2 linked regions of the Oreochromis niloticus genome follow. The protein of the gene in region 1 purifies or fractionates together with the protein of each later gene. This does not show direct contact. Links are inferred from orthologs where the notes say so. Each region holds a gene or a part of one and is shown on either strand. Other genes may lie near its edges. The genes, in order: chd8 and kpna5.

Region 1 (16,193 bases):
TGCTTTTCATTCTGTTGGTGCATTTTTCTCAGCTGTCCTTGACTTTTCTTTTCGCAGGCCTTTCAGTCAGATGACACAAAGTAAGTCCAGAACAAACTAGTCAGACTGTATTAGGACTCGTCCTGAGCTGTGTTATGTTGATGTGTGTTGGGGTTGTCATGTTAGGGAGTATTTTTATACTGGAAGCTTGAGAGAAAAGAAAGATAGAGAAACAATGAAAGACACAAAATAATAAAGGTGTTATTTCATTTGTGCTTTTGATTTGTAGGTTATTAGCTGAGCTGAACAGTCCACTTTACATCCCTGATCCCATCAGCGCAGACAGGAAGCACATTCTGGAGGACATCGAGAGCAAGTACCGCGAGTTCATCACTGCTACCCTCCGCTGTCTCAGTGAACTCAAAAGGGAACTCTGTGAGTGGAATGAATGCGTGACACTTACCTGCCCCGCTAATGATTTTAAAGAAATAGCTAGACATTTTGGGGAATGAAGCTTGTTAGCTTTCTTGTTGAACTTCAGAGCTTAACCCACATGTCAGAGGTGCTCTGCTGGACTGAGATCTGGTGACTGTGGAGGCCATTTGAATTCCAGTGTAATGTTCAAGAAACCAGTTTGAGATGATCTAAGTTCTGAGTGACATGGTACGTCATCCTGCTGTAAGCAGACATCATAAAACGTGGCCATAAAGGAGTAGACATGACCAGCAACAATATTCAGGAACGCTGTGGTGTTTAAATAATGCTCAGTTGGTCTTAAGCTGAGGCTCCAGAGTGCAGTCATTTACATATTCAACTTAGAAGTGAAAGGTCCCTGATCCTTTCAATTCCAGGCAGAGTTACATCCCTCTGAGGTTGCGTCCCCCTTAACAATCTACCAAGCCAAACATCCAGTGCTACCTGCTGTAGCAAGAGAACAGCCAAAAGTAGCATTAGTTGGTATTAAGGGGCCCAAAGTGTACCAAGAAAATATTGCCCACACTATTAGATACTGGGCAAGATACTGAATAGATAGATAGATAGATAGATAGATAGATAGATAGATAGATAGATAGATAGATAGATAGATAGATAGATAGATAGATAGATAGGACCAATGGCATCTTTGGTATGATGAAGGACTGTAAGCAGTTTTCTATGTATGTAACTATGTAACACCTCTGTAGTATATAAGTTCATGTGCAGTGTTCCACATTGGGTCCAGGTAAGAGCAGTGCAGGTGATTGCCCTATGAACTCACAGCGAGCCAGTGAGATGATCTCCTGTTGTGTGCTCCGTGTAAGAAAGCACAACTTTGGACCTGATTTTTCTTGACATTGTTTGGAGTTCATGTCTGATAAAACCTAAAGAATGTGTTTGTGGGTGCTTTCATTAACACGTAGATGTCATTTGCAAATATTTCTCAGTTGGTTTCTATGGTTCACTGGAGGACACACTTGCCGACACTCAGAGACTGACAGCTTGAGCAAACAAAACAAAAGCTTTAATAAGATGCTGCTGGTAACTTACAAGAGTCTACGCAAATTCAAAAGCAGCAGACAACAAAATCCCAAATAAGGACACAAAATCTAAGCTGGCACTAAAAACAGGAAGACAAACATAGTGATCAACAAAGGCAGAGAACAGAGGAGCACAGACAAATACAAAGGTAGAGACATGAAGCTGAATACACCAGCAATCTGTTTAACAAACTCTGAGTCTAATGCTGACCTCTAATCCCGAGAAGAGAAACTCAGTTTTGAGTCCAGAATAGCAAATCAGAGTCAGTTCAACTCTGAATATGTTTGCATTGAGCTAAATAAAGAAAGCATCATCAATGGAGTTAAAACCATGATTAACCATCTATGAATGTGTTGAATAAATAGCAGATGATGTTTATGTTAAAAAGCACGAGTTTAATGACCTGAATTTTCTTCTTTGGGTAATGAAGTTGGAAGCATCATGTTTGTAATGCTTAAGTTTAAATATATTTATTCAGATGTAACGCAGTGGGGACAAAATGAAGCTGACAGCAATTGAGGATGTAGGTGTGGCTCAAAAGCATACATTTATAAATCTCTGTTTTGCATTTTAAAAGTTCTGTTTTGCTCCATAGAAACGGGCGAACAAGTTTAAGTACTACGAGGAAAGTAACTAAGATTTTTCTCTCTCCTTACAGTAACCAGTCCCTTGAGTCTGGACACAAACACAGCTCATCCTCTGTTGAGCATCTCAGATGACCTGCGCTCAGTTACACGAGTTAAAAACCGCCTGCCCTGCGCTGCTCATCCCGAACGTTTCGACCACTGGCCGCAGGTCCTCACCGTCCAGACCTTCTCCTCTGGGACTCACTACTGGGAGCTGGAAGCCGAGGGATTCTGGGATGTGGGCGTCTGCTACCGAAGTATTGGACGAAAGGGCAAAGAAGGCAATGCATTTGGGAACAACAAGGTACACGTGTGCCGCAGAGCCACAGTGGTTGATCACGCTCATTCCAGTGTTAGATTTTGTGTTTTCTTTGCTAACTAATAGAATGAGCAGGAGCCTCTGTTTGATGTCTGTCCCTGACATCTCTCAGTCTGTTTGGCATCAGTGAAAAAGATGATTTTTTGCTTTGAACACCACATCATTCATTCAGTCAAAAGTGAACCTTCTTTCTATTTTCCTCTGGTGCACTAAAGCAGTTCAACAATTGTATTCCAGTTCTATTCTTTCCTCGTCTATTCTTATGTGTACGTTTAATTTTATGTTTAGGTTTTTTCCTAAAATCACTGCCCTGATTTAACCGTCAGTGATCAAAGCATATTTTGCAGAAGGATGAGAACATTTACAGTGATACATGTCCTTGTCAACCACATGCAATTAAAGATAAAGCCAATACTTCCTTGGAACGCTGCAGTGATTTGTGCTCAATTTAAAATATAAATCAGTTACTAAAATTATCGCCAGATCAATTTTCCCCACATCAGTAATTGTTTGATAGTAAAGTTTCAGCTGACATAACAACATCTTCCTTGATTAAACCCCTTGTAGGTTTCATGGAGCTTGACACAGCAGCACGACAAAAAGCTAGCCGCCTGGCACAACCGCAGGAAGACCCGCCTCACATACCAAATGACTGGGAACCGCGTTGCTGTAGCCGTGGACTACAGCTCAGGCACCATCACCTACTCAGAGGTGGGACCGTCTAACAACCTGATCCACCTCCACACTTTCTCCACCACCTTTACTCAGCCGGTGTGCCTGGGCTTTGGTCTCTACAAAGCTGAGCTCAACAGTCGGATCACTATTGTTAAAGTCTGATGTGATGAGAAGGACAGCCGGGAGGATGATGATGATGAACTCTGTGCTGTTTTGGCCATTCCAAAATAAAGTGCTGTTGTTTTTTCCCGTCTGTGTAACTTACATAAACCTCTGTTGGAGCCTTTGCCATGAGCTGCTGTTTCTCTGCTCCCTGCTCTAAAACAGAGCTTTACCTCTTCCTCACCAAAGAGACAAAACTGTGTCTTCTAAAGCTGCGATCAGCTGACATGTGAAAACATTTCCAGAAGACACTCAAAGGGAATTTGATACTTCCCTAAACACTAGATGGAAAGGCTCATTTTAAAGGGGACCAATTATGTTCATTTTCAACTAAATATTTTTATATTATATGTTGAACTGTACTGTATAGACGCACATATGTTGGTGTCATTGTTTGAAACTTTAGTCATTTTTAATAATCCAGCCTTGTAGCAATGGATGTGACAGAAAACAAGGAAAAGCATATTAGGTCCCCTTTAAAAAAGATACAAATTAGCTTTAGATCAGGCTGCAACATTGTTCAGCACTTTGATTCCACAGTGATTAGAAATAAGGATGACTGTTGTGTATAAAGTAATGTAGTTGTAGAAAAGCTGGAAATTTGTTTGGCTGATATTAATAAGATAAACTTGAGCCTTTTTCTCACTCCAGCCTTTCTTAAACATCCCTGAAGCTCTACCTCTGGTTTGTGATTTCCTGTCTGTATCTAGGAGTGTCTAGACATTTAGTGCATGATCAAAGAAAAGCACAAAAGCAGCATCTTTATGGATCAAACGGTGCTGCGGATCCAGGAATCCAGCTCTATTTACCACATGCATAAAGACCTGGAAATAAATCTCGCTGTCTTGAAGATAGCGAAGGATCTTTTGATTCTTGTGAGGAGATCGATGTTTTGTTTGGGAATTACAGGGGGAAAAAGAGGAGAAAACAACTGCCACTCACTTTCTAACTTTGCTCTTTGAAGCTGCTCACACTTATTTATCTTTTATATTACTGTAAAGGTGAGTGGGCGGATGCAGCATAAAGGGTGAGAACGAAGCAGATGGAAAGGAGGGAGAGAGATAGAGAGAGAGAAGGGAAGGAACAGGGAGATAGACAGAGAGATGAGAGCAGTCTCTATCTTGGTTGCGATCAGCCATGCTGTGAATTAATGTGACAGAGGAGCGGAACAACAAGGATATTTCAGTCCTTCAGATATGGAATACACAATCCTTTGCACGGGAACAGGTGATCTTCTGTTTATTACTTTTATTATTTTCATAATCTCATAATTTTGTAGTCAGATCATGTTTAGTCACTTTTGATGAATAGCACAATGAATTGTGTAATACCTTGAATGAGGAAGCATGTTGCATTTGTCTCTGAATAACTTTGTTGAAGCTTAGAAGGAAACGTTTTCACCCTGTTGCTGATTTTGCAGAGATGAATGGATGTTATTTCAAAAATGCTACACTTTGAAATGGCATTGGAGGCAGGGGGCTTTGCATTTTACTCATTTCAGTGAGCTGAACCAACAGAAAGTCTTTCGAACCTGCAGAGAAGATGAACGTGTGTACGTGCGGCTGCAGCGTGTATGAGTGTGCGCAACAAGAGGCACAAGTGGGAGAAAGAGCGAGTGTGTGTGGCAGACAGATGGTCACTCAGTGGAGTTGTTCCCCATCTCTCTCTCTCTGCTTTCCCTCTGGGTCCTACATCCTCCCCCTGTCACCTCTCCAAAGTCTTACCTCATCTTTTTTTTTTCCCTCTCTTCCACACCTTTTCCATCCTCGTCTTCAGCCCGGACTTGGATCTTCACTCACCGTTCCGCCCCTTATCTTTTTTCTGTCTCTCCCTCTCTTCCCTTCCTCAGCTACATCTCTGCTTATTTTTTGCTGACGACATCAACTTGAAAATATCAAGAGATTTTTTTTCTGAGTGTCATTCTGGACCCTGTTGACACAGCACAAAGGACACTGAAGAGATTTGGGGATTTGTGTGGGGGTCAAAAAGGGGGAAACTTGAAAGAAAAGACTGACAGATATGACCAGCAAACCAATCTGAGTTAAAACTGCCTGAAAAACATAGACTAAATTTAAAAGAAAAACAGGTTTTCTTTCTCTTTCTGTTCTGATATAGAGTGTTTCTTTAGCCATAGCATGTCTATTTATTCTGCAGATTGCCCAGAGTGACTATTGTCCTTAGAAATTAGAGATATTTGAGTTAAAAAAAAAAAAATCTCAGGTTCAGTCATGCACCTCGGGTCAGTCCACCCTGACATCCTGCTCCTCCTGGGCATGCTCCTGTTGTGGGGACCTTTGGGATCCAGGGGCCAGAATGACACAGAGCCCATCATCCTCGAGGGGAAATGTTTGGTAGTGTGTGACTCCACGCCTTCGTCCGAGCCTGCCGGAAACGCCCTGGGCATGTCGGTGCGCTCTGGCTCGGGTCGGGTGGCCTTCTCCGCCAGCCGCCAGACTAACCACGAGCCGACAGACATGAGCAACCGCACCATGATCATCTACTTTGATAATGTGAGTTATCAGATATCTGTGTTTATTATGCCCATTTGTAACATACTGTGGCAAATTGTGATAGGTTTACTCTTTACAGTACAGAATGGGCAAATTAACACACACAAAAGCCTCTGTGCTATCATTGGTCAGGTGTCTTCTCCCACTGGGTGTGATAATGAGCTGATTGCTAAACTTTTGAACCTGTAGTGAAGCCACATAATGACAACATGGTTGTATTATGCTGCACAAGCTGCATGTCCATGGACATTTTAGGGGGAGGGAGGGATGTATGAAAATAGGTCTCAGTAGTTTGGAAGTAAGCGATCTGAACAGATGAAAAGAATGACCCATGTCGTGACTTTATCATCCCCCCTCTTTTTCCTGCTGTCCTCTCAGATTTTGGTTAACGTGGGCACTCATTTTGACCAAGAAAGTAGTGTGTTCCTGGCACCAAGGAGGGGGGTGTACAGCTTCAACTTCCATGTGGTGAAGGCCTACAATAGACAAACTATTCAGGTACGCCCACTCGACTCTGAGACTTATAGCTGTCGTTCCAGTGGATCACTCTCTTAATCTCGCTGGTTCCCATCTCTTAGGTTAGCCTGATGGTGAACGGCTGGCCAATGATTTCAGCTTTCGCTGGGGACCAGGACGTGACCAGAGAAGCCGCCACCAATGCCGGCCTGGTGATTATGGAGAAGGGCGACAAGGCCTACCTCAGACTGGAGAGAGGCAACCTGATGGGAGGCTGGAAGTACTCCACATTCTCAGGCTTCCTGGTTTTCCCCTTGTGAGAAAGATAGAGGGTTGAAGCGCTGCAAAGTGAGAATGATTAAGAGAAAAAAGGGGAAGAGGTGGTGGGGAAAAAGAAAGGCTTCAATCTGTAACCTTATATAGTGCATGAAAAGATGGCTTTTATGCAAAAATGAGATGATTGTTCAAATGGACCAAAAAGAAAATGAGAGTAGACGTCAAACAATTTCTCTGAGGAATTCATTTGCTCTGTTTTGTTTTGGGTGTTTTTTAATGTCTAAATGCTTGTTATAGGAGATACTTTGTGGCAAAATTCTAAAGTAGCCATTTAAAACGTGGGCTTCTGTGCTAGAGTACCTAAAAGCTTCTGTTCTTAAGTGTTTCAACACTGCTGTGCTCCACATGCCATCCTGTCAATGTTTGAAAAAATCTCTTTATTCTTGTGTGCTGTATGACTGGTGTTCCCCTATATGCCTGTTAGTATAATGCAACAAATGTTTATTTACAAAGAAATTTCTATCAAAGACCAAATAAAATAGTCTAAATCTGGCTCAGTATTTCACTTTGAGTATGCAAGCAGGAATGCTTTCAGACAATATCTGATGAATCACCAAGACTGCGACGGTTTAATCTGCTTATACAAGGCATCCCTTCCATTGTACCCTACCCAATGCCATGGCAGCTGTTTGTAAATATAGATCCCACCAGCAGAGTTGGCGTTGGCATGGACCGAAGGGACCAGCGTGGGACCCGGTATGAAGTGTGGTGTACGGTGGATGCTCCTTACAGGGCCGCAGACAGATGGAGGCTCTGTCGAACAGGCAAGCTCATCTCTGCAGGGCTGCCATGGATAAAGTGTGGTGTGCTGTCACATGTAGTCACTTACGCTTCCGTGGTTCATGCCCACCATCTCTCTCTCTCTCTCTCTGACTTCCTTTGTCATTTTCATCCTTGCGTTAACAGAATTATACATTTATGAAATTAAGATGATGAGTAAAAAATTCATAAAAATGGAAAAAGCCTAGATATTAATTCACGCTGTCATATTAATGCTCCCAATGAAGAATCTCTTATAATATTAACCTCAAGTCCTATGCAGGAAATAATGGCCTTTCTAAATAAATCTCAGAAAACACAATGAAATCTTGCAGTGTTTGCGCAAATGTTAAAGTGCTTTTCTTTTTTATACTTTACACCTAAAGGCCACTGTACTGATTGGTTCACTCTTCAGCCACGTAGAGTGGATAACCTCCGTTGTGCCCCCAGCCCCACAAGGACCTGCAAATACAACAAACTGTCTTCAAAGCCATTGGCAATTCATTTACTTCAAGATTTGCTCCACTCAAATATAATTGTATCTGTGTGGCATTCCTGTGATCTGACCTCAGAGGGCCCTATGTAGAAATCTAAGTATGAGATTATTTAAGCTTAGTTTACACTTATATGGTCTAATTAATTTGTGATTAAGGAAACTGACAAAAAAAAGAAAAAGAAAAAAAAAGGAATCTGGGGTAATAAGAGCCCTTTTCTGTCCCAGTGCCCTGAAAACTGCATACATAACAGACTGAAAGCTAGTAATTATATTTTAATGTTAGGCCACTAGAGGGCACCAAAGCTTAATTTAAAAAAAACTGAATCGCTTATGAAAGCGCCAGACCATTACATTAATACCCAGAGGAAGCTAATATTAATGTTCCAGGTGTACCAGTAACCTTGGGAAATATATAATACGCCCTCGTCGTCTGGTTATATATATCTAGAAACTAACAGACCGATATGACAACAGGTCTTCATTCATTTAATGATGTAAGCTGATTTCTGGGCTATGGCCAGTGTAATAAACCGCTGAAAAAAATTGATGGTGTGCCATTAACAAACAGGTCTTTTGACCGTGCAGTCCATGAACACTTCAGTTTATTAAAACAATGTCTATTTTTTTCCAGCCAGCTCTAAAACTGCTGCGCTTCCTATTTCGAGCATCTACAACAGCGAGACAGCAATGTTGAAGATCACCGAGCCAAACGATCCCAACTAGGCCGCATTTAGTGTTACTTCAACCAAACTATGACTCTCATCCCGCCCGGTAGCGGCAGTACGTCTGATGGACAGCTAGTCGAGCCAATGAAATTGCCGTATGCTGCCGGCTCGGGAGGAGGCTAACCAATGATCGTTTCACGGCACCAGAGGGGCACGCTTTCTGAGCTTTCTCTGGCAAGAATGTTAGTTCCTGCTCTCTCCTGGCCGTTTCCTGTAATCGTACAGTGTTGTGAGACTCAGAAAGCCATGTGTGTCGACGCAAAGGTAAATTTAGCACCCTGAAATTATTACTGTGAGAGTTGGGGCAGTAGATATGATGGTTATTTTCACGTATTTTTGCCGAAAATAGACGCAGGCCAGCCGAAACAGCAATGCGGCCTAACCTGTGTCTGAACGTTGACGGGCAATGGTTATTGTGGCACGTTGCTTTGGTTTGGTCCGGTTTGTTGATGATATTGAAGGAGTCCGGTGGACTGAATGGTTGATAGTAAATGACTGGAAAGCGAACTAACGGCGAAGAGGACACAATTCATCGTGTTTTTGAGTCTGAATGTGTTTACGGTGCCACACACGCCTTTGTAACAGGCACATTTTTGTAGCGGTAGAAGCTAATGCTAGCCGACGGTTTTGTGAGAAAGACTGCAATACGACCTGAGAGGAAAGCATCCTGTCTTTCCAGCATCACTGACCTAATCGTATGACTTCACTGCTCGCTATTTTCATTCACTAAATGTTATCTGCGTACTTTCTCTTTATATGTTAACACTTAAGCCGACGAGCACTGTTTTTGTGTTTTCAAAGCTTTTAATTTCACTTTGAAAGCGTTTCTGGACGGTGTGGCCACGAGTTGGAGGATGAATTCAAAAACTATACTTTTAATGTTTCGTCTCTAGTTTACAAGCTGCTACATCCTTCTAACATTATTTTATTTTATTTTATTTTTTTATGCGGTCCATTAACAGTACTAACCGGATAATTTCCACCACAGCCACTAAGATAAATAAAAGCGTGTTTACATAAAGTGATCCTTGTTTTAGTAAACTGTTCATGTCCTTTTAACCCTTAAGAGATTTCCACTAATTATGATCTTCATATCCACCAGAAAACCAAAATAAAAAAGTACAATGAGTATATTTCTTTGCTTCCCCCCTCCTTAACTTAAGAACCCTTGTACTAACCATTGGAGCCGTCACTTCACAGGTCTGAGAGACGTTATGCTGTAATAAATAGTGCAGCATTTCTTTGAACAAAGTCAGTAAGAAAATTGTGTCTAACTGTTGTTTCCTTTCCCTTCACAGCTGATTATCTAAAAATTGAGAAGAACTGGACAACAACTATTTAGTTTCCATCTCGGAGTCTTTTTAACATTGTGCCCATCTCCCTGTGTGGAGTGGGCAAGATGGCAGATCCCATTATGGACCTCTTTGAGGACACACCCCTGTTTAACTTGGATGCCCTACAGGACGACTCCTTTTCTCAGGGCTCCTCGGACCCGGTTGAGGAAGCGTTCAAGCTCGCTCTGGGCCAGGTGGATCCAACACCAGAGTCTGAGCCTGCTCCTGAGCTCGCATCTAACACGAGCCTCTGTGTTCCTGTAGAAGCTCCAGCCGTTCCGGATCCAGCCCCTGTTCAAGTCCCCACACAGCAGCCAGTGCAAGTGGCAACTCCTCAGACCATTTCCATAGCTGTAGCGCCTCCTATGACCCCTGCTCCTGGCCCTGCCCCTACTCCTACTGATACTGTGAATCAGATACAGGCCCAGACCACCATACCAATTGCCAGCAATGCCAGTGGGGCCACCAGTAGCACTGTCCTGTTGAGCTCGCCTCTGACTGTTTCTAGCTCTCCATCTACAACCACCGCCACCACCCAGCAGCTCACACAGATAACCCACCAGCTTACTCCCCAGCAGTTAGCTGCCATTACGCAACAGGCTGGTGGCAAAATTGTCATTCTCAAAGGTCCCCAGGGTCAAGCACAGGTGCTACAGACTGTATCAGGAGCCACGGGTCAGACTGGTGGAAAGGTCATCCGTGTAGTGTCTGGCACACCACTCAAACCCGGCATGTCCATCCTGCAGGGCGGAACAGTCTTGAATCAGGTAGGCCCAGGACAAACACAAGTGAAGGTGGGTGGTGCAGGAGTGCAGAGGCTGCTGCAGTCTCCTAATGGACCAGTGAAACAGGTGTTGCTCACGTCCATGCCCCAGCAGGTGCAGCAGACACAAGGCCAGCCAGTTCAAGTGCAGATTCCAGCAACAGCACAGATAACTCAAGGCCAAGTCCAACCCCAGGCTGCCCAGATTCAGGTCCAGGCACAGGGCCAAGTGCAGCTCCAAAACCAAGCTGCTCAGATCCAAGTCCAACCCCAGGCAGCTCAGATCCAGGTCCAGGCACAGGGCCAAGTGCAGCTCCAGCCAGCTATGCAGGCCCAGACGCAGGTAAGCAGACTACAAAGTGTCACCAGGTGACATTTGTTATACCATCAGGATAACTGCTGATTTCATGTTTTTTAATTAGTTCAGTTATAAATGTCCTTCTGCATTTCTCATTCTAGGGTGGAGAAGCGAAACGCATCACCTTGGTTCTTCAGCAGCCCTCCCAGGCTGGCTCTGCAACTCAAGCAGGTCAAGCTGTTGCAGCCCAACAGCAGGTCACCCAAGTCCAGCAAGTTCAGACGGCACAAGGAGGCCAACCTCAGCAGACCCAGGCCCCAACTAAACTGGTTCTGGGTCAGCTCCCCGGGGGAAAACTGGTGCTCCAGGGGAGCCAGCTAGCAGCCCTGACCCAGGCACGAGCTGCAGGCCAGGCTGGAGGGCAGCCCAAAGTTCTCACAATTCAGCTACAGGTGCAACAACAGCCCAATCAGCAAGGTGGTGTTAAGGTGAGAAACGAGTGCTGTAGGAGTTAGAGGTCTCTGCTTGTTTAACAGTGTTAATAAGTTTGAGTTTTGATGGCATGTTTTTGGGAAAATCATTCAAATTGCTCTTAATTTCTGTTGTTTCAAGTAAGTGGGGCCTTGAAGGTCTTTTTGTTGTTGTTGTTGTTTCCTTGCCCATCATCTTGAATACCGGTCTGCTTTTAATTTCCACCATTCCCAAGTACTATAGTCCTGAAATCTGTGAAAGTTTGCTCCTCCTCAAAGGTGTCACTGTGTAACTAATATTTTAGTTCAACATGTGTACCAGAATACACAGTGCTTCAGATGTACAAATGTAATGTTCTGTGTAATATGAGGTGACAAGGCAAAACACCTTGGCTTTGGAAATGTCTTTTAGCCAGGACAGATCAGACCAGATTAATCACCATCTTGGCTCCACTGACCGGTATCAGTTAGTATTCAGAGGTAGTTTCTCTGAACAGCTGAAGAGCATTGATTGTTTTGAAATGCACTTTGTGGTATGTGATGTGGAGGGACTGGCAAGCTTGGAGATAAAGGACGTTGCATTTTAAATATATTGACATTCTCCCCATGTCTTTGTTATGTGATATTTAATGGCTTCAGGTTGAAAAACCAGCAAATTTAGGTCTTTTAATAGGAATGTTAAGTTTATTATTACTCCAAATAATCAGATTAGACACACATGTGTGTCTAATCTGTGTCTAATCAATGTGTTCGTCTTTCTGTCAAGTTATTAGCAATTTTACATGGTCATTGTGGGTTTTTTATTTTTGTTTGTTTTGAGTTTTTTTAAACCAGTTTAAAGCAACATGACAGCAAAATTTTGAAATACCTTTGCTGTGTGTGCGTGTGCGTGCGTGCGTGCGTGCGTGGCACTGTGAACGATCACTACAGTAGCAACCCAACAGGCAAACCATGAAACAGGAAGGACTCATGCTAGTTTATCTCAAGCATTTGAACTTTCACAATAAGACAGAGCAAACTGTCTACTAGTAAACTGATAACATAAAGGCATTGTTTATTTATTTTTATTTTTCAGGCGTGTGTGCGTGTATTTATGATGTAGCCCACTCAAAGTCTGTATGGGTGGGAAACACCACCTAGCTTAAAGCAAATTTTGGAGTCAGAAGGAAGTCTCATCCATGTGCTAGAGGTTGCTTTTACAATTCGTATGCCATCCAGTTTTAAAAACTTGTTAATACAACTTATTCTCGGAAACTTACATTTAAAAACATCTTAATTTTTAGGAAGTGCCTTGTTATGTTTTCTTTTAATCTAATACTCAGTTTGTTTGTTTGTTTTTAAATCAGTCTGATCAATCTGTAACTTGATGTGTCTCGTTCATGTGCGCAGTACCAGCTGGTTTCAGGAGCTGGGAATACCGGCGGCCCTCAGGTGTTGCAAATATCCCAAGGCCAAGGAGGGCAGCGAGTGGCAGTACCACTCAAAATGCTTCTGCAGCCACAGGTAGACCTCTAATCTGCAGATTTCATTTATTCTCTACGTTAAAGTGGGGCTTTTATTGTGAACTCAGAGAAATTACAGAGAAAAATGTATTTTAATTTTGTAAAAATGTAATGTATTTTTAACCTTCTCTTTAACTCAGACAAGTGCAGCCTCATCCACTGGCGGCACCGTCTCTGTTGTGAAGGTCATCAACACTTCAGCAGCAGGACCGTCTTCTACAACTACCACTCCATCCCAGGCCATCCGCATTACCAAGGCGCCTGGAGAGCCTGCCTCTGTGCGGCGAGTGGAGATTCTCTGCAAGCAAGAGAAAGCTAACCGTATAGTGGCTGAGGCTATAGCTCGGGCCAAAGCTCGTGGTGAGAAGAACCTACCCAGAGTCCTTAACCAGGATGAGCTTCCAGCTACGCAGTCTTCCCCAGAAATGGGGGGTACCGTGACGGTGGTGTCAAGTGCTAAGAAGAAAACCAGCAGTGGAGGAAGTAAGAAGAAAAGCCCTGTGTCTGGAGGAACGGCACCCAAAACCGCAGGAGGGCCTGACAAAAAGGGAAAAGTCAAGGCACCAGGGGGAACAACTATAGTGGCGGGAGGCACAGTAATACCCAGTGCTGCGAACAAGAGCAAAAGCAAAGCTAAGGCAAAGTAAGCAAATGAAGATGTCTCATTTAAATGCACAGCTTATTTCTGTACATTTAGAAATGCAGCTTTGAAGAAAACCATATTTAACCCCCACCCCCCACCCCCACCCCCATCCTACAGTACTATTACTCTAGTTGGAGCAAAGAAAAGAAAGAGAAATGCGTCCTCAGACCACTCTGACGGGGAGTTGAGTCCTGCGTCACCTGCTGCGCTGGAAGATGACATGATTACGGTACAAGCACATGCATGCTCATAAAATCATACAACTAGACACAACAAATAGTGTTGAGCCATCCTTTTTTTTCTTTTTTTTGCCCCACTGTGAACACTTCATAATCGTACGGTTTGTTGGTAGCAATTGTTGACAGTACATTGCTCTGATTTGATGTCTTTGTGATAATAATTGCCACATAAAATAAACAGAAGATTAGGAATATGTGGAGTACTTCCACAGTAAAGACTTGTCCTAATAAAACCACCTGGTAGTTGCAGATGAGTAGCCTCCCTTCCTGACTCAGGTGGTTGACACACATCCAGTTATGTGCTGGGACGTCCCAGTTATGAACCGATTTGGAAAAAGGGGGCATATAAGTCAAGATACCACAGAAATATAATGAATTCTGAATAAAAACTGTCTAATGACACTCGGATCCTGCTGCACAGAATACACGTTTAAATTGCGCCCCTCTCTCATCAGAAGAGACGCTCCAATCGTGTGGTGAAGAGAAAGAAGTACACCGAGGATCTAGATATCAAGATAACGGATGATGAGGACGAGCAGGAAGATGTAGATGTTACTACAACCGCGGCAGCTGTGGCTTCCATCAGCAGTGGGGCACCAGTGCAGCTCAAACAGGAAGTGGAGCTGGATGGTGATGGATTGCCCAGTATGCAGTTCTTTGTGGTGAGTGTGGAACAATACCATTTCTTCTTATTGTCACGATGAGACGGATGCTAGTTGTGTGTATTTTGGGCTGTTTGTTTGTTTTTATTCACATATATGTATGGCTATTTGTGATGTTTGTAGTGTAAGTTTTTTACATGTATATATTTTACAGGAAAACCCAAGTGAAGAAGATGCTGCCATTGTAGACAAAATTCTCTCCCTGAGATTAACCAAGAAGGAAGTATGTTCACTTAATTAATTATAATGATTAAATTACTTAATGTAATTTAAGTTGTTGCGGGCATGATGGCTTCAAATTTGCTCTTTTATTTTTAAGGTGTCTCCAGGCCAGTATACAAATATTGAAGAATTCTTTGTGAAATACAAAAACTAGTAAGTTGCAGTGTCTCTCTGAGCATCTTTGACTCTGGCACGTGACACTTTTTTTTTTTTTATTGCTTGAGGAGATGGGTGAGTGAGTAAAAATGAGTACAACTGCACACTCTGGTTTTCAGTTCATACTTGCACTGCGAGTGGGCCACTTTGGAGCAGCTGGAGAAAGACAAGAGGATCCATCAAAAGATTAAGAGGTTCAAGACCAAGCAAGCTCAGATGAGGCATTTGTTCCAGGAGGTGAGCGGGAAGCACACGCTGAAACCTGTCAGTTCGGGTGTATCTCAGTTAGATGCACTTATCCTCATGCTGTCTGTGGCTAATGCTATTGTTTTCTTTAGGACGAGGAGCCTTTTAATCCAGACTACGTGGAGGTGGACAGGATCCTGGATGTGTCCCACAGTGTGGACAAGGACAACGGCGAGGTGAGAGATGAGGCATTAACCTTTGGCTATGTGGCCTAATTTTGGACATGGTTCTTTTGACCTCCCTTTGCAAAATTGCAAATTACTTGTGTTAATTCCCATTCTCTCTCGTCCTGTCAGCCTGTTATCTACTACTTGGTGAAGTGGTGCTCTCTGCCATATGAAGATGCTACTTGGGAGCTGAAGGAGGATGTGGACGAAGGCAAGGTTGAAGAATTCGGCAAGATCCAAAACAGACAACCTCGCCTTAAGAGAGCGGTGAGCAGTCATGTAAAAGATATAGAAATATATCTGTGTGTAATGTTGGAGGCATTATGTTGTGGCGTCTGATAGTACAACCATGTATTCTGTTGAACACAATATTACAGTGATGATCACAGCCACTGACGTGAAATTGTCAGGCCATAAGCCCAGAAATAGTATTGGTGACTGTAAAATGTGGAAGAGCACGTGATTGTGAAGATGCTGGCTTGGATGAAGATGTGTATCCAGCATCCGTGTTTTAGAATCCCAAACTACACTTAAATTAAACAATGGTGGGAGGAAGATGTAACTTTAAGTTTATCCCTGTGTTTCTCTGTTAAATGTTTAACGTAAACAGTTTAGAGAGACGCTTTATGTGTAACAGAAACAAACTGACACAACCCCCAGTGCACAAATCAAAGCTACTTCTCTGCATTTTCAGTGCAGGTTACCATTCACTGTGAACCAAACTTTAGAAAATCCTCAGTTGGTCCAACAGAATTAATCTTCTCTGCATCAAGATGCAGAAATGCTTCTTTGAATTTCTTTTTTTTTACCTTTATCTCCTTCCTTCCTTCAAAACTTGGCTTAATGGAAAAAATGAGAACTTATGTAAAGGAACAACAATGTTTCTTGTGAGTTTTCCATCTATTTTTTCTCTTCTCTCTTCTATTTAGG
Region 2 (16,524 bases), on another chromosome or scaffold:
AAAGCCAAACGACACATTAAAAAAAACCCAAAAAACTGCACAGACGTACAAATGTAAGTGAAAGGCTGCAGGAGACAGTAGTGATCAGAGCAGAGACGCAGCCTGAATATTATAAAGAAGTCCAGACTGAAAATGGAGACGGAGAAGAATCAGGACCAAAGTAAAGAGAGAAACACAATCCAGTCACTGTCAAAAAAACAACAGCTCAGTAAAATCAAATGTTAACCAAACACACAGACGAGTAAGAAGCCACATGGACACAACTCAAACTTTAATGGGAACTTGAGCCCCAGTTGCTGAGTGCAGTTAGCTGGCAGCAAAGGCAGAGGAGAGCAAACCTCACACCCTGATAGGAAGAACACAGCAGGTCCAAACAGGACCATAACAGTCCCACACGTGTTGAACTCGGTTAAGCTTAATTCCATTTTATACACTAAATGTTAGTAAAGATCACCTGTTCCTCTCTTTTTTGTTTGCGTAGCTGAATTCCTTCCTCTTCTCTCCTTCGACGCATTTCCTGAGGATTCAACGCTTTGTTCTTATAGCTCTTCATCCTGTAGTTGTCTTTCCCTGGACTCGCCATTGTGTCTGAGGATTTAAGCAGATCGATGCAATCATCATCAAATGCTGAAGCCTCGGTACATTTGAGTTTACAACATATGAAATGACATCAACAAGCAGCGTGTACGCGGCACAAATAGAAACACAATACAGTTTGTTTGGTTTGTGTGGGACAATTATAGAAAAGGCTCCTACAGTAAAGCTGCAGTTTGCATTTATCCTCACACCCTCATCACATTTACTTGCACTGGACGAGATTAAAATACGGCCTTTGCCATGACACTCAAAATTAAGCACAATTCAGTTGATTGGACATGATTTGGGAAGGCACGTGCCTGCTGTTATAAGATCCCGTAGAGTTGACAGTGCATGTCAGAGCACAAACTAAGCTATGAAGTTCAACAAATTGTCTGTAGGTGTCCAGGACAGGAACATATGAAGGCAAAGAAATGGGGAACGGTACCTAAAAAAACTTTTTGCAGCTTGATCAAACAAAGACTGAACTTGAATGCCAAGTGTCAAACCAGGCACCACCTAAGCACACAGAGTGGCTTTGGGACCACTCTGTGATTGTCCAGGCTGCTAGCAACACACACTACATTCTCTTATGTCCATTCGATCATTTCAGCAATCGCCCCCACAAATCTGCTGACATTTGTGAGTCCTTATAGTAATGCTATGATTATTATTTCTATATACTGAGTCAATGATTGTTATTCTCTCTTCCAATACATTTAAAACTGCTTGAAAAAAAAAGGAACTGGTAAAGCACAGTAGGAGTTGATGGCACTGACACATTATCTTTCTCTAGTTAGTCAATAGGGCGATTCACTGTCTTGACAAGTGAATGAGTGAGTTTGTGTCTGTAAACCTTTAAAAGACTAAGCGGTGTCTGCAGTGACGGAAAGCGAACATATTAGCATTCTCGAGTTTGCCCTGTGCTTTGATGCAACGCTTTTATGCTGCTGAAAAGAAGACATGATGGTGTAGATGGTAATTAATAATAATAATAATAATAATAATAATAATATCAATAATTCAGCGTCCAACCTAACAACCCTCAGGTAGGGGTGGGCGATATATCGAATATACCCGATGTATCGCGGGGTTTTCCATGTACATCGGTTAAAATGGCTGCATCGTAAAAACTGTCTGCATGTAATTCACTGTGAGGTTTTTTTCCTACCACACGCTGCAAATGCATCATTTATTCACACCTGCCAACTGGAAAATTTCCTACCGGCTGGAATGTGCCCAGCATGCGCGTTTATATACTACCAGACAGAGAGAATTATGGCGACAGCAGAAGTCTCAGATGAGCGAAGGAATGAGACTCGCTGTCGTTTGGATGTCGAACAAAATGCAGTATTTTTCAAAACATGCCATAAAACTATGCCACAAAAGGTAGCAGTACCACAAATTTATTCTACCGGCTTAAAAGTCAACATGAAAACTGTGGTAAGCTCCACATGTCAACGTCTCCCCACACACCAAGGAACACGTTAAATACACCAGCTGTGATACCTGTGACTGCTCTCAGCGGGTTTTATAGTCACTATCTAGACTTTTGTTTGTTTCTGTCAGCTGGACAGCTGCATCTAAAGGTCAAAGGTCACTCTTTCAAGGATGCCAATGTTCACATTTTGGACAGAGAACACAGATGATTGGAAAGAGGAGTGAAAGAAGCATCTATGTCCACTGTGAACGGCCATCTTTGAACAGAGGGCGGGGCTTACCACACAACCTGTCGTAAAACAAGCTTTTATTTTAATATGTTTAAATATCAACCCAATTCCACTTTCAATGTGAAAAATGTTACGAAAGCCTTGAAATGAATGTCGCCCTTTAGACTCAAACCCCTCTTTGCTGCAGGTATCGCTTCCATCCAAGCTGTATAACTTAAACATGGTCTCAGACCAAGTTAACATTTCATCTGCATAATTCAGAGCCATGCATTAAACGAAGTAAATTTTATAATCAAATTATTCGCATTACTCGATGAATCGTTGCAGTCCTACTTTCAACCCCTTATTATTTAAACTTGGTTACAAAATTAGAGTGCACTCTTTTTTTTGTTTTTTATTTGTTATTGTAGCCACAGAAAATAGCACAATAGAAGCAGTTCAACAGCAATTAAAGAGCAATAGTCCAAGTCTCCCACAGAATTTGCTAGAAACGGTACATCTCTGCAACAAAACGAACCACACCTCCAAAAGTAAAGCGCTTTTTCGAACAATGGCTTCACCTTCGGAACTTCGTTTCCATCTAAATCTACACCAAGTTTGAATCGTTTCGGGAATATTCAGCAAGTCGGAGAAGACATGCAGCATAACCTGGAAAACTGTAGAGTATTTAAGGTCACAGCAATCTCCACCTCCAAGTGAGTTCTCCTACCCAAGATCTTAAGAGCACCTCCACAGATGATGAGCGATAACGCTGACTTTCTTCTAAACTGAAGCGTTCTTATGGCTGTAAATAATGACAGCGATAGCCGCTCCTAAACTAGGATATTTCTTTATCAAGGAAGTGGACACGACCCGCTTTCCCGGTCAGGAAGGAGGTCATGCCTAACTGCTTAAATCACTCCCCTCTTGAGAGTATAGGCACACATTTAACAGAAAACATGAACATTGAATACCCACGTTATGCGATTTCGTAACACGTCGTTTTACTGGCTTGCAGGAACTAACCTCACTCCGTGAAACAAAACAAAACGGATTTTGGTCAAGTTATTCCTGGTTAGACCCTAAATTAGCTTCGCGAATAACTCGATGGCTAATGCTAACTTGTGGTCAACATCTCTGCTGTAAATTCAATGCAGCGGTTTTACTAACTCTACCCTTATTACGTAGCCTTCCCCGATTCTTACCCAGTGAAGATCTAATGTAGCTGAAACACGTACGGCTGTGAAATACCTACAGCTTCGACTACTCCCTCTGTTTCTTAATCCAAAATGGCGTCAAACTAAAACTTTCCCAGCAAACCCCGCGCGTCAACAACACCTCCGTTTCCGTCCACCGGTATAGTACGGAAAGCCGAAAGCGCCAAATCACCCCCATTTTCCCCATGGACGACCCAGCGCTCCACAAACATGAAGCCAAACGTCTCTTTCGCCCCCTGGTGTCTGATGCGGTATAGGTCACAGATCAGCGGATGGGACAAGAAAGTTCTCTTCATTTTTCCCAAAGATGCTTTTCTGCCATTATTAGTAATTCCCATCACGCTGATTTGTGTTCAGGGGGTCTTCTTTCGCATAGACTGATTCTGATTGTTAACTTGATACTATAAGAATCATTCACTCTGTAGGCCCTGTTGTTAATTAGATAGCAATGCGACACACCTGTGTTACTCTAATAGTCTCTATGTTTGAATGCTTCAGCACTCTCAGCACTCTCCCCAGAGATGACATCAGCTGCACACTCCACAGAGTACTGTGAAAGAATTGCCTGGAAATTAAATGTTGTCCTTGAAACAAGACTGAGGATGATATAAACCTGAAGATTTAAACAGTTTTAGATCCATGAGCACTCTACAGCTCGTTAGATCTAAAAACACAGCAGCAGCAGGTTTCATACAAGTGTAATTTGTTCTTTTGCATTTGATAACAGGATCCAAATTCCACATTAGAATCAGTATACTTTATTAATCCCTAAGGAAATGATGTGGTTACAGCTGCGCCAAGACAACAGGAGCAGACTGAACTAAATCAAATTATACATTATGTAACAAAGTTACAAAATAGAAGAAATACCTCAAATATAAATACCCAGAATATTAGAGAGATTAAATATATATGATGATATTATGATCGTCAACATTCAGCCTGGAAAAGACCTAATGAGGAGACCATCAGGACCAAACTGTGTCTCCTGGGTGCAGAGGTCTTTCATCACAGCTGTCCTGTGCCAGATCTCAGTGCAGGGATCAAGCAGGACTCGTAGTCTTTACCAGCACCTCCTTCAGTCCTGTAGAACGCTATACAGTAAAAATCTATATATTGTGGTGGACCACTAGAGGGCTCCACTCACACCCAGTGTTGAGGAAGTGTGTTCTTCTGTTTTGTGGCGCGATATGTCCAGTTGATGTTGGAGACAAATAAAGAAGGAGTGTGAACTGAGAGCTCTGTGTCGTAATGCTTACCTCCACATTGGTGACCCCGACGTGATCGAAACGCCGACCGGGGATACGGAAAGGTTCGAGGGGTGCCTGCGTGTGCCGGTGGATTTTTGAGCGTTGGCATGGGACACAAACCGCCGCCCATTCTTTCACCGTCTTGCGAAGGCCCGGCCAAACGAACCTGGCGCTGACCAGCTTGACCGAGGCCCGGACGCCGGGATGAGAGAGGGCATGCACCGAGTCAAAAACACGACGACGCCACGAAAGGGGAACCACCGGGCGGGGGCGGCCGGTAGAAACGTCGCAAAGAAGGCGCGGACCGCCGTCCCACACCGGGGTGTCCTCCAGCACGAGGCCCGTTTTCATTGACTGAAGCGCCAGGATGTCCGGGTCAGCATGCTGCTCGGCGGCCATGGCAGCGTAGTCGACGCCGACATACACTGGAGAAACCAACACACGTGACAGACAGTCAGCGACGTGATTGGACTTACCAGCCACGTGCTGAATGTCTGTGGTAAACTCCGAAATGGCCGCCAACTGGCGCTGCTGGCGTGCGCTCCATGGGTCAGAGACCTTGGACATCGCAAACGTCAAAGGTTTGTGGTCAACGTACGCAGTAAAGTTGCGACCCTCGAGGAAAAAACGAAAATGCCGTGTCGCGAGGTGCAGGGCTAGCAACTCCCTGTCAAAAACACTGTACTTGCGTTCGGCATCCCGGAGCGTACGACTGAAAAAGGCGAGCGGTTGCCAGAGACCTGAAACCCGCTGTTCCAACACCCCACCCACTGCCACGTCGGACGCGTCGGTGGTCAACGCGATCTCCGCCGACGGGAGCGGGTGTGCCAGCAGGGCGGCGTCAGCCAGCGCAGACTTGGCTGCGGAAAACGCATGGATGCGTTCCGGCAGCCAGTCAACCGGATCTTTGGCTGTTTTACCTTTTAAGGCAGCATAGAGTGGCTGCAGCAGGTGGGCAGCTCTGGGGAGAAAGCGGTTGTAAAAATTTATCATCCCCAAGAACTCCTGCAACGCTTTAACCGACGTGGGGCGTGGAAAAGCTGAAACGGCCTGGACTCTGTCGGGCAACGGAACCACACCTTCAGCGGAAATGCGGTGCCCGAGGAAATCCAGAACAGGCAACCCAAACTGGCACTTGGAAGGGTTGATGATCAGGCCGTGCGCTGCCAAACGCTGGAAAACCTGGCGCAGATGGGACTCGTGCTGGCTCGCTGAGCAGCTGGCCACCAATATATCGTCCAGATAAACAAAAACGAACGGCAGCCCACGCAAAACTGAGTCCATCAGCCGCTGAAAGGTCTGGGCGGCACCTTTCAGGCCAAACGGCATGCGCAAAAACTCGAACAAGCCGAAGGGGGTAATGACAGCGGTCTTAGGGACGTCTTCGGCGCGCACGGGAACCTGGTGTCGTAATGCTTACCTCCACAATATATTACATTGTCATTACTCAGATATGACTGACTCTGAATTACTTTATGGTAAATAACACACTATTGGCAAGACCCAGTGTGAAAGAATTCCTTGTTGAAGTTTTTATTTCATCAGGTGACGACCTTTGACCTTACATCAGGTTGTATTGAATGCTGTCAGAGAAAATCTCATGTTCTCTTTCTGCAGCTGACTACAGTGTTTAAAACAGAAGCTGTGCAGATCTGAGTTACTGTCTATGTGACATCATGGATGATGAATCATTTTGACTTTTTGTCTTTAACTTTAGTATAAGCAGGACTATCACCTCATCTCGTCACCATCCATCAGCTGATGATGCCAACATGGTTTTCTCTGTACAGTCTTTAATAGATGTCTACACCCAAAGAGCTCCCTGAATAAAGTACTTGGGGTCAAGTACACCAGAAATGTACTATATAGGAACCAGTCGTCATACAGTAGCACAGTTCTTGTCTAAAGAGACAGTGTAACACCTTCTGTCTTCATCAACACTATCAAAGGAAACATCACGTATGTAGTGAAACCATGTTGCTGCTCACTGATCACCTCTCTGAAGTTACCTTCAACCAGATAATCATTCTGTATTTGCTAACACTTAACAACCAAAGATTCCAGATTCTGATCCATCAGTCCATAATACCTTCTTCCAGTCTGCAGTAGTCCAATGGTGGTGTTTCATGGGCCAGCCAAGCCTCTTTGTCTGATTCTGACATCTGGCTTTCTTGCTGCAGCTCGTCCTGTCAAACCTACAGCAGGAAGTTCAATTCAATTCAATTCAATTCAATTCAATTCAATTTTATTTATATAGCGCCAAATCACAACAAAAGTCGCCTCAAGGCGCTTCACAGGTGCAGAGAAAAACCCAACAATCATATGACCCCCTATGAGCAAGCACTTTGGCGACAGTGAGAAGGAAAAACTCCCTTTTAACAGGAAGAAACCTCCGGCAGAACCAGGCTCAGGGAGGGGCGGGGCCATCTGCTGCGACCGGTTGGGGTGAGAGCAGGAAGACAGGATAAAGACATGCTGTGGAAGAGAGACAGAGATTAATAACAGATATTCAATGCAGAGAGGTCTGTTAACACATAGTGAGTGAGAAAGGTGACTGGACAGGTAAAACTCAATGCATCATGGGAATCCCCGGCAGCCTACGTCTATTGCAGCATAACTAAGGGAGGATTCAGGGTCACCTGGTCCAGCCCTAACTATATGCTTTAGCAAAAAGGAAAGTTTGAAGCCTAATCTTGAAAGTAGAGATAGTGTCTGTCTCCCGAATCCAAACTGGAAGCTGGTTCCACAGAAGAGGGGCCTGAAAACTGAAGGCTCTGCCTCCCATTCTACTTTTAAATACTCTAGGAACAACAAGTAGGCCTGCAGAGCGAGAGCGAAGTGCTCTAATAGGGTGATATGGTACTACAAGGTCATTAAGATAAGATGGGGCCTGATTATTTAAGACCTTGTATGTGAGGAGCAGGATTTTGAATTCAATTCTGGATTTAACAGGAAGCCAATGAAGGGAAGCCAATACAGGAGAAATCTGCTCTCTCTTTCTAGTCCCTGTCAGGACTCTTGCTGCAGCATTTTGGATCAGCTGAAGACTTTTCAGTGAGTTTTTAGGACATCCTGATAATAAAGAATTACAGTAGTCCAGCCTGGAAGTAATAAATGCATGAACTAGTTTTTCAGCGTCACTCTGAGACAGGATGTTTCTAATTTTAGAGATGTTGCGCAAATGGAAGAAAGCAGTCTTACATATTTGTTTAATATGTGCATTGAAGGACATGTCCTGGTCAAAAATGACTCCAAGGTTTCTCACAGTGTTACTGGAGGCCAAGGTAATGCCATCCAGAGTAAGAATCTGCTTAGATACCATATTTCTAAGATTTTCAGGGCCGAGTACAATAACCTCAGTTTGATCTGAATTAAGAAGCAGAAAGTTAGCGGCCATCCAGGTCTTTATGTCTTTAAGACATTCCTGCAGTTTAACTAATTGGTGTGTGTTACCTGGCTTCATGGACAGATAGAGCTGGGTGTCGTCTGCATAGCAGTGAAAATTTATGCTATGTCTTCTAATGATGCTGCCTAAGGGAAGCATGTATAATGTAAACAGAATTGGTCCTAGCACTGAACCCTGTGGAACACCATAATTGACCTTAGTGTGTGAAGAGGACTCTCCATTTACATGCACAAATTGGAGTCTATTAGATAGATATGATACAAACCACTGCAGTGCAGTACCTGTAATACCTACAGCATGTTCTAATCGCTCTAATAGGATATTATGGTCGACAGTATCGAATGCTGCACTGAGGTCTAGCAGGACAAGCACAGAGATGAGTCCACTGTCAGAGGCCATAAGAAGATCATTTGTAACCTTCACTAAAGCTGTTTCTGTGCTGTGCTGAGCTCTGAAACCTGACTGAAACTCTTCAAATAAGCCATTCCTCTGCAGATGATCTGTTAGCTGTTTGACAACTACTCTTTCAAGGATGTTTGATATGAAAGGAAGGTTGGAGATTGGCCTATAATTAGCTAAGACTGCTGGGTCTAGAGATGCTTTTTGAGTAAAGGTTTAACTACAGCCACCTTGAAGGCCTGTGGTACATAGCCGATTATTAGAGATAGGTTGATCATATTTAAGATCGAAGCATTAATTAATGGCAGGACTTCTTTGAGCAGTTTTGTAGGAATGGGGTCTAAAAGACACGTTGATGGTTTGGAGGAATTAATTATTGAAGCTAACTCAGAAAGATCAATTGGAGAAAAAGAGTCTAACTTAACATCGATGGTACTGAAAGTAGCTGTAGATAATATTACATCTGTGGGATGATTATTGGTAATTTTTTCTCTAATGATAAGAATTTTATTTGTGAAGAAGTTCATGAAGTCATTACTAGTTAACGTTAAAGGGATGGTTGGCTCAGTAGAGCTCTGACTGTTTGTCAGCCTGGCTACAGTGCTGAAGAGAAACCTGGGGTTGTTCTTATTTTCTTCAATCAGTGACGAATAGTAAGATGTTCTGGCTTTGCGGAGGGCTTTCTTATAAAGCAGCAAACTATTTCTCCAGGCTAAATGATGATCCTCTAAATTTGTGACATGCCATTTCCTCTCCAGCTTACGAGTTATCTGCTTTAGGCTACGTGTTTGAGAATTATACCACGCAGTCAGGTACTTCTGATTTGAGGCCTTAGTTTTCACAGGAGCTACAGTATCCAGAGTCGTACGTAGTGAGGAGGTAAAATTATTAACAAGATAATCGACCTCTGTTGGAGTAGCGTTCAGGTAGCTGCTCTGCTCTATGTTGGTACAGGGCATTGAAGATGATAACAGTGGGTGGATTATATTCTTAAACTTAGTTACAGCACTTTCAGAAAGACATCTACTGTGATAAAGTCTACTCTCCACTGCTGTGTAATCAATTATTGTAAATGTAAATGTTATCAGGAAATGATCAGACAGCAGAGGGTTTTCAGGAAACACTGTTAAATGTTCAGTTTCTATGTCATATGTTAAAACAAGATCTAGAGTGTGACTAAAGTGGTGGGTGGGTTCTTTTACATTTTGAGAGAAGCCAATTGAGTCTAATAACAGATTAAATGCCATGTTGAGGCTGTCATTTTTAGCATCTACATGGATGTTAAAATCACCCACAATAATTATTTTATCTGAGCTGAGCACTAAATCAGATAAAAAGTCTGAGAAATCAGACAGAAACTCTGTAAGGCCCAGGTGGACGATAGATGATAACAAGTAAGACTGGTTTCTGAGTTTTACAGCTGGGGTGGACGAGGCTAAGCATCAGGCTTTCAAATGAATTAAAAGTCTGTCTTGGTCTTTGGTTGATTAATAGGCTGGTGTGAAAAATTGCTGCCACACCGCCCCCTCGGCCTGTGCTTCGAGGTTTCTGGTAGTTAGAATGACTCGGGGTGTTGATTCATTTAAACTAACATAATCATCCGGCTGCAACCAGGTTTCTGTAAGGCAGAGTAAATCGATTTGTTGATCAATTATTAAGTCATGTACTAACAGAGACTTGAAGGAGAGAGACCTAATATTTAATAATCCACATTTCACTGTTTTACTCTTTGGTTCAGATGTGGATACTGTATTGTTCTTTCTTTGTGATTTTTTATGTTTAAGTTGTTTATTGCTGGTTTTTAGTTTGTTTTTTCTCTGTTTGGGAGCTGACACAGTCTCAATGGAGATGGGTTTTTGGGGGGGTAGCAGGAGGAGAGAAGCTGCAGAGAGGCGTGTAAGACTGCAACTCTGCTTCCTGGTCCCAACTCTGGATAGTCATATTTTGGGGGGTTTAATAAATTGGTCCATATTTCTAGAAATGAGAGCTGCTCCATCCAAAGTGGGATGGATGCCGTCTCTCCCAACAAGACCAGGTTTCCTCCAGAAGGTTTGCCAATTATCTATGAAGCCCACATCGTTTCTGGGACACCACTCAGACAGCCAGCAATTTAAGGAGAACATGCGGCTAAACATGTCACTCCTGGTCTGACTGTGAAGGGTCTTCTCTTCACAGCTGAAACTGAGACTTGCTTACTACGACCACTATCAAGCTGTGCTTGAAGCTGTTGTCCTGTGAGCCGCCTATCACACTGTAACTGATTCAGTCGTGTCTTTGGGTCTGCAGACCTTCCTGTCACAGTTTGTTTCTGAGCCTTTGGATGCTGAAGGAAACTGTACTCACTGACACCTTGACTTTCTTTGCAGTTTCTCTGTAGGACAGACCTACATTTATAAGTGTTATGATGGTCTGTCTCTCTTCCATTGTTAATGACCTTTTTCTCACCATTTCTGTACCAACACACTACTTTCTGCAGTACAGTACCGTTCATCTGATGCTCATCAGGGTACCACAGTGTGTCCAACAGACAGAGGGGGTTGGACCTGCAGGAATTAGTAGCACCAACTTTCAAGTCTCGAGTCTCCATTGCTGCAGAGCAGCTTTAAATTGTTAACCCATGCTGTGTTCCCTGAAAAAGACCTTTTTTTTTATAATTCTGAAATGTGCATTATTTTTCACTTTTGGTTTACCACATATTTTATTTCAACCTGGCAGTTCATCACTTGTTTGTTCTATTTTAAGATATTCATTGGACTTAAACTTGAATTGCATTAAATAACTGGAAAAATTGGGCTGTTCCAAACATTTTCATCGGTAGTGTGTGTATATATATGTGTGTGTATATACACACACATATGCTCTACCTGCTCACATATGCTTGTGATTTAATCTTATTTATATGTATATGCACAAAGGCTCCGGCCCAGGACCGTTGAAGCAACAATGCAACCACTGCTACACATCTTAGACTCACTTCCAAATTAAACTATTTGAAGGAAAACTGATGTAACAAACTGCTAAACATGCCCAACTTTCCCACAGTGTTACAGCCATCAAATTCAGATTTGGAGTTAGTCAGTCCAACTACTACAATCCTACTTTGGTCACGTAAATAACTGCTCACCTGATTTATTGTCACAGAATGTTTTTACTGCACATTGGAAAATATTCCAGTTTTTCTGGAAATGCGGTCACATGTAATAGAGTATAGTTACTTCAACCTCAGCAAAGCAAGACTTTTATTCTCTGGCCATACCTGACATTTTAGTGCCCTCACCTGGACAGAAAATCGCTGACACTGGGATGAGCTTAAAGACAAACCCCCAGAGGGAACACACATTTTTATCAGAGTTAATAATCGAGGCAGTTGAAATAAACACCAACTGTTGTGTGTGTCTGTGTTTTTAAACAATTTCCTCTCCTTTCATTCTGAGTTTGTAAAAAAAAAAAAAAAAAAAAAAAAAGCAGACATGTCCTTAATGGCCAGAAGACGGCGTCCAGGGCAAGAGCAGCATGTTCCTACGATCATGCTTGAAGCCTTTGAATTCCACCGTCCTGCTCTGCCTTTAGTCTTCATCACTACCCATCTCTATAGGGTCAAAATCTGGGTCATCTTCATCCAAATCCAAGTCCTCAATGTCCTGGAATAGTGACTCGTCCACTTCAACGTTGTTTCCAGCTGCATAAGAAGAAAGCCACGGGGTTAGAAGAAACTTCACAGGAAAAAGATTATTCCTACCAAATCCACACACAGCTGTTCTCTCAACAGACCCAGATGATCTGTGACCCTTACACAGCAATCAGATCTTCCCCCAGCTAATTGCGATATATCACTTAGAAAGTCACATTTTTTTCTCCCTTTCACTTGTCTCTGCCTGCTGCCAATCCATATCCATGCTCAACCGTTCCTGTTTCTCCCTAGCCACACAAACACAAAGGCAATTCCATCCACTTTCTGCCACTTATCCAGGTTCGGGTCACCGGGGTCTGAAGCCCAGACTTCCATCACCCTGGGTACCTCTTCCAGCTCATCTGGGCAGACAATGAGTTGTTCACAAGCCAACCAAGACATATAATCTGTCCAGCAAGTCCTGGGTCTGTATGGGAGCACCCACCAAGTAGGACACGCCCAGAATGCTTCACCCAGGAGGTTAGGGGGGGCCTCCTAGTCTGATGCCTGAACCACCTAATCTGAGCAGCGGCTCTACTCTCAAACAGCTGAGCTCCTCAGTCTATCACTAAAGGAGAGCCTTCAAAGGAAGCTTACTTCTGCCACTTATATCTGCAAATTTGTTGGTTTGGTTACTCACCTGAGCTCATGAGCACAGGTGAGGGTAGGAAGGCAGATCGCAGTAAATCAACAACTTCGCTTTTACGCTCACTTCTCTCTTCACGATGATACAAAGTCTGTGGCTCAATCCTGACAAGCTCACATTCCACTCTCCCCTCACTTGTGAACAAGACCCCGACATACTTAATAGAATAGAATAGAATAAAATTCAACTTTATTGTCATTGCACATGTCACAGGTACAGGGCAACGAAATGCAGTTTGCATCCATCCAGAAGTGCTTTAGCCGTGATATAGATATATTACAATATATATTAGCATTAATATAGATATGCAAGTATATTACTCCTCCACCCGGGGTAGTAACTCATCCCTGACACAGAGTTTGACTCCACCCTTTCAAGATGAGAAGGTCTCGGAAACTGAGGTGCTGATTCTGAATCCAGCTGCTTCACACTCGGCAGCAAACCGCTCCAGTGAAAGCTGGAGGTCACCACCTGATGAAGCCAAGAGAACCACAACATTCGCAAAAAGCAAAGCTGAAATCCTGATGCCACCAAAACAGAGACCCTTCACTACCTGCTGCACCTAGATACCGTCCATAACAGAATCTGTGACAAAGGGCAGCATCCACCAGAAACTAGTCCGACTTCCTGCCGACAATATGGCCGTCACTACACGTACCTAACGCCCTGTAACGACAGACAAGAGACCTCATACTCCTGAAGGATAAACCCGTCGACTGACACCGCTGGGATCTACAGCAATAACATCGGAATGTCATTTGGACTGTTGAAGCGTAGTCGGATGGTAACAAAAAAATGTTGGTCGGGAATTGCACTACTAGAAGGCAACACTGCAGATACTGAGTACAGCTATAAGTATCTTTTAATCCCACAAGAAAATGGAAACCGTAAAGAGGAAGCTCTGAAAACTACAACCACCAAATACCTGCAGAGAGTGAGGCAAACCCGAGGAGTCTGCTGAATGGGAAGAACAAGATCCGAGCAATCAACACTGCTGGGATAATAGGATGGCCAAAGGAAAAGGTGGAAGCCACTGAGACCGAGGCAAGAACGTGAGCGTTTCACCCCAGACACAGCACACTGAGACTGTACACTAATAGGAAGGGAGGAGGTCAGGGACTACTGAGTGTCAAAACCACCATCCCGAATGAAACAACCATCCATCAGCCCATCATGACTGATCATGTGCCTAGTGAATACCTCCAAACACAGACGTCCAAACAAGTGTTATGTTTAGATTCCACTGTCCTATAAATGACTCAGTTTAGTCCGTATAACAAAAAGAAGCAGAACACTCAGAAACAGTCCTTACCATCTTCAAGGAACTGAATGTCAGATGTGTCCAGGTTGTGGTCTCTCTCAAACAGCTGTTTACCTGGTGACAGATGCAGGGTCTTCAGTCTGGACACGTATGTCATCATCTTTACAGTTTTTGATGTGTTTGAGTAACACCACGTACCTGTCAGTTTGGGTTTTCCTGCCTGCTCTTCCTCTTTCTGCTTTTTCCTCCTCAGTTCAGCCATTTCCAGCTCAAACTTGGCTTTCCATGCCAGGAAGTTTTCAATGGTTACCACTGTTCCCTGGAAAGCCACCTGTTGAAAGCAACTACTGTTATAATGGAGTAAAACCTTGGTTGATTGTGTGCACTCAAGCAGAGGGTGAATGGTCATAAATCCAGTCTGGATTCTACCTTCTCTGCTTCCTGGGCCTCTTTCTCTTTCCTCCGCTTTTCCTCTTCTTGCCTATTTTTCATCACATCAACAATTGTATTAAGTTTCTCTTGAACAGCTGTAACCAGGGTGAAGATCATCACCATGCCCAAGTTTTCTTCTGCCTGTACAGTGAACACAAACATACAAAGCACACTGCATTGATAGAGCCACATTTCACCAACTGTCCAAGAACAGTGCAACACTTTTGGTTCTTTTTTTTTTTTTTTTGCAATAAGGAGATGGAGAGATGTCTGATGTCACCTACATTTCTATCATTATTATTATTGCTGTGTAGTTTAAGGAGCTTGGAAAGAAAGGTTCTGTAAGGTTCTTGGAGATGTTTCACTTCTCACCTGTGAAGCTTCTTAGTTCACATAAAAAATGCAAAATTGAAAGTAAAGTAAATTTTCTCATCAAGCGTATCCTCCCGCTGATGCGTTCTTATTTGACTGTCACAGACAAATCTATGAAAAGTTTGGACACAGCTTCTCATTCAATGGTTTTTCTTTATTTTTACTACTTTGGACATTGTAGATACAACACGAAGACATCAGATATATGAGCAATGGAGTGCTGCACCGTGGCCTGGCCTCCACAGTCACCTGACCTAAAGCCAACTGAGATGGTCTGGGATGAGATGGAGCGCAGAGTGAAGGCACAAGGGCCAACAAGTGCTCAGCATCTGTGGGAACTCCTTCAAGACTGTTGGAAAACAGCATTATGGTATTCTACACTTTCTGTTTACTACATAATTCCACATGTGTTCATAGTTTTGATGCCTTCAGTGTGAATCTACAATGTAAATAGTCATAAAAATAAAGAAAAACCATTAAATAAGAGGTCATGTCCAAACTCCTGACTGCTCGTGTATGCCCTGTATAAAGCTTACATCAATCTGATACTCTGAATTATATTGATAAAAATAATACATTTATCAATCCTTTTAAACACTTTGTAAACTTTTAAAGTTGTCTCCATCTCGCTGCATGTCTGACATGCTTCACTGAACAGTTCAATGAACATACACTGTTATTAATATGCAGACTGAATCATATTTCATTAAAATGTTGCTTTAGTCGTGCCCATGGACCAGCTGTACAAATGTTGTTTCTAAAAGTCTGGAGCTTTAAGATTCAGCAGGATTTCTTCCATTTCTTCACAGATTCCTCTTAATGAGGTTTGAGCTTCATCTAAATCACAAATGTAGACACACAGCAGTGAAGCTGTCATCCAAGGCACTGGGCTTCCATCTAAGCATCTGGAAAGATCTAGAAGCCACTAATTAGCCCTCAACCAGCACCAGACCCACGACTGCCCAGATAAATCCAATGACAGACCTGCTGTTGTAACAGTGTGAGGATATCTTCTGTGTCACTCTCCTCCAAGTTCTCCTGGGAATAGATTTCCCACAGCGGGGGCTCGTCTGGGTACTTGTCTACATACGTAAACTTTAAAGTTGTTTCCACAGCTGCAAAAAGACAACAGACAGTTCATGTTCCACAACTTTACGAGTGCAAAATGAAAAAGTTCTTTTTATTATTTAACTAAAGATAAAACTTTCATTTATTCTTTATTCACTACATGTAAAGTCAAACAGGGTGGATACACATGTATCCCCCCAGCTTAGTGCCTGCATAGTGGGGTTTTCACTAGTGGACGGGAGGATTTCTTTCATTCTGGTCACGTAACGGGTCCTGTTATTCGTGCTTCTCAATCAACGATGCAGTCTACCCAGCGTTCCTGGAGCCCCTGAGTGGGGTACATTAAAGTGGCCTTTGCTGTGTTACTAAGACCCTCCCCTTCACTATTTCAGTAGCGGCCGGGCCGGAGAGGAGGGAGGAGCGGCTGCAGCAGTCGGAGTTGGGAGTACTGCAATGTGCTGAAGCAATGTGAAACAGACACAAACACAGTGTGGAAGCAAATAAAGAACACTGAACGTGAACGTGTGTCAGGTCCTTCAGGGACACAGGCCCTCTATGAGCAAGTGCCTCAGTGACAG

The links.
Region 2: the proteins of chd8 (region 1) and kpna5 purify together in Homo sapiens (affinity purification with mass spectrometry; 3 studies listed by BioGRID and IntAct, with this or other methods). This does not show direct contact. The link is inferred for Oreochromis niloticus from reciprocal best matches to the Homo sapiens genes CHD8 and KPNA5.

The regions. Positions count from the first base shown.
Region 1 is NC_031982.2:7,070,325-7,086,517, forward strand, and holds the start of chd8 (chromodomain-helicase-DNA-binding protein 8), read left to right. Parts: upstream 1-8,669; 5' UTR 8,670-8,825; intron 8,826-9,859; 5' UTR 9,860-9,960; coding exon 9,961-11,001; intron 11,002-11,117; coding exon 11,118-11,444; exon of another isoform or gene 11,445-11,567; intron 11,568-12,815; coding exon 12,816-12,929; intron 12,930-13,068; coding exon 13,069-13,571; intron 13,572-13,688; coding exon 13,689-13,800; intron 13,801-14,265; coding exon 14,266-14,472; intron 14,473-14,626; coding exon 14,627-14,695; intron 14,696-14,791; coding exon 14,792-14,847; intron 14,848-14,969; coding exon 14,970-15,087; intron 15,088-15,188; coding exon 15,189-15,272; intron 15,273-15,392; coding exon 15,393-15,530; intron 15,531-16,192; coding exon 16,193-16,193. Other genes in the region: trim110 (E3 ubiquitin/ISG15 ligase TRIM25), read left to right, coding at 269-280; cbln12 (cerebellin 12), read left to right, coding at 5,508-5,789, 6,168-6,287, 6,368-6,565. UniProt on the Homo sapiens protein: ATP-dependent chromatin-remodeling factor, it slides nucleosomes along DNA; nucleosome sliding requires ATP. Acts as a transcription repressor by remodeling chromatin structure and recruiting histone H1 to target genes.
Region 2 is NC_031976.2:1,264,824-1,281,347, reverse strand, and holds the start of kpna5 (importin subunit alpha-6), read right to left. Parts: upstream 6,959-16,524; 5' UTR 6,855-6,958; coding exon 6,782-6,854; intron 3,588-6,781; exon of another isoform or gene 3,431-3,587; intron 3,409-3,430; exon of another isoform or gene 3,204-3,408; intron 589-3,203; coding exon 455-588; intron 1-454. Other genes in the region: rwdd1 (RWD domain-containing protein 1), read right to left, coding at 12,064-12,176, 14,126-14,188, 14,273-14,405, 14,504-14,647, 15,863-15,993. UniProt on the Homo sapiens protein: Functions in nuclear protein import as an adapter protein for nuclear receptor KPNB1. Binds specifically and directly to substrates containing either a simple or bipartite NLS motif.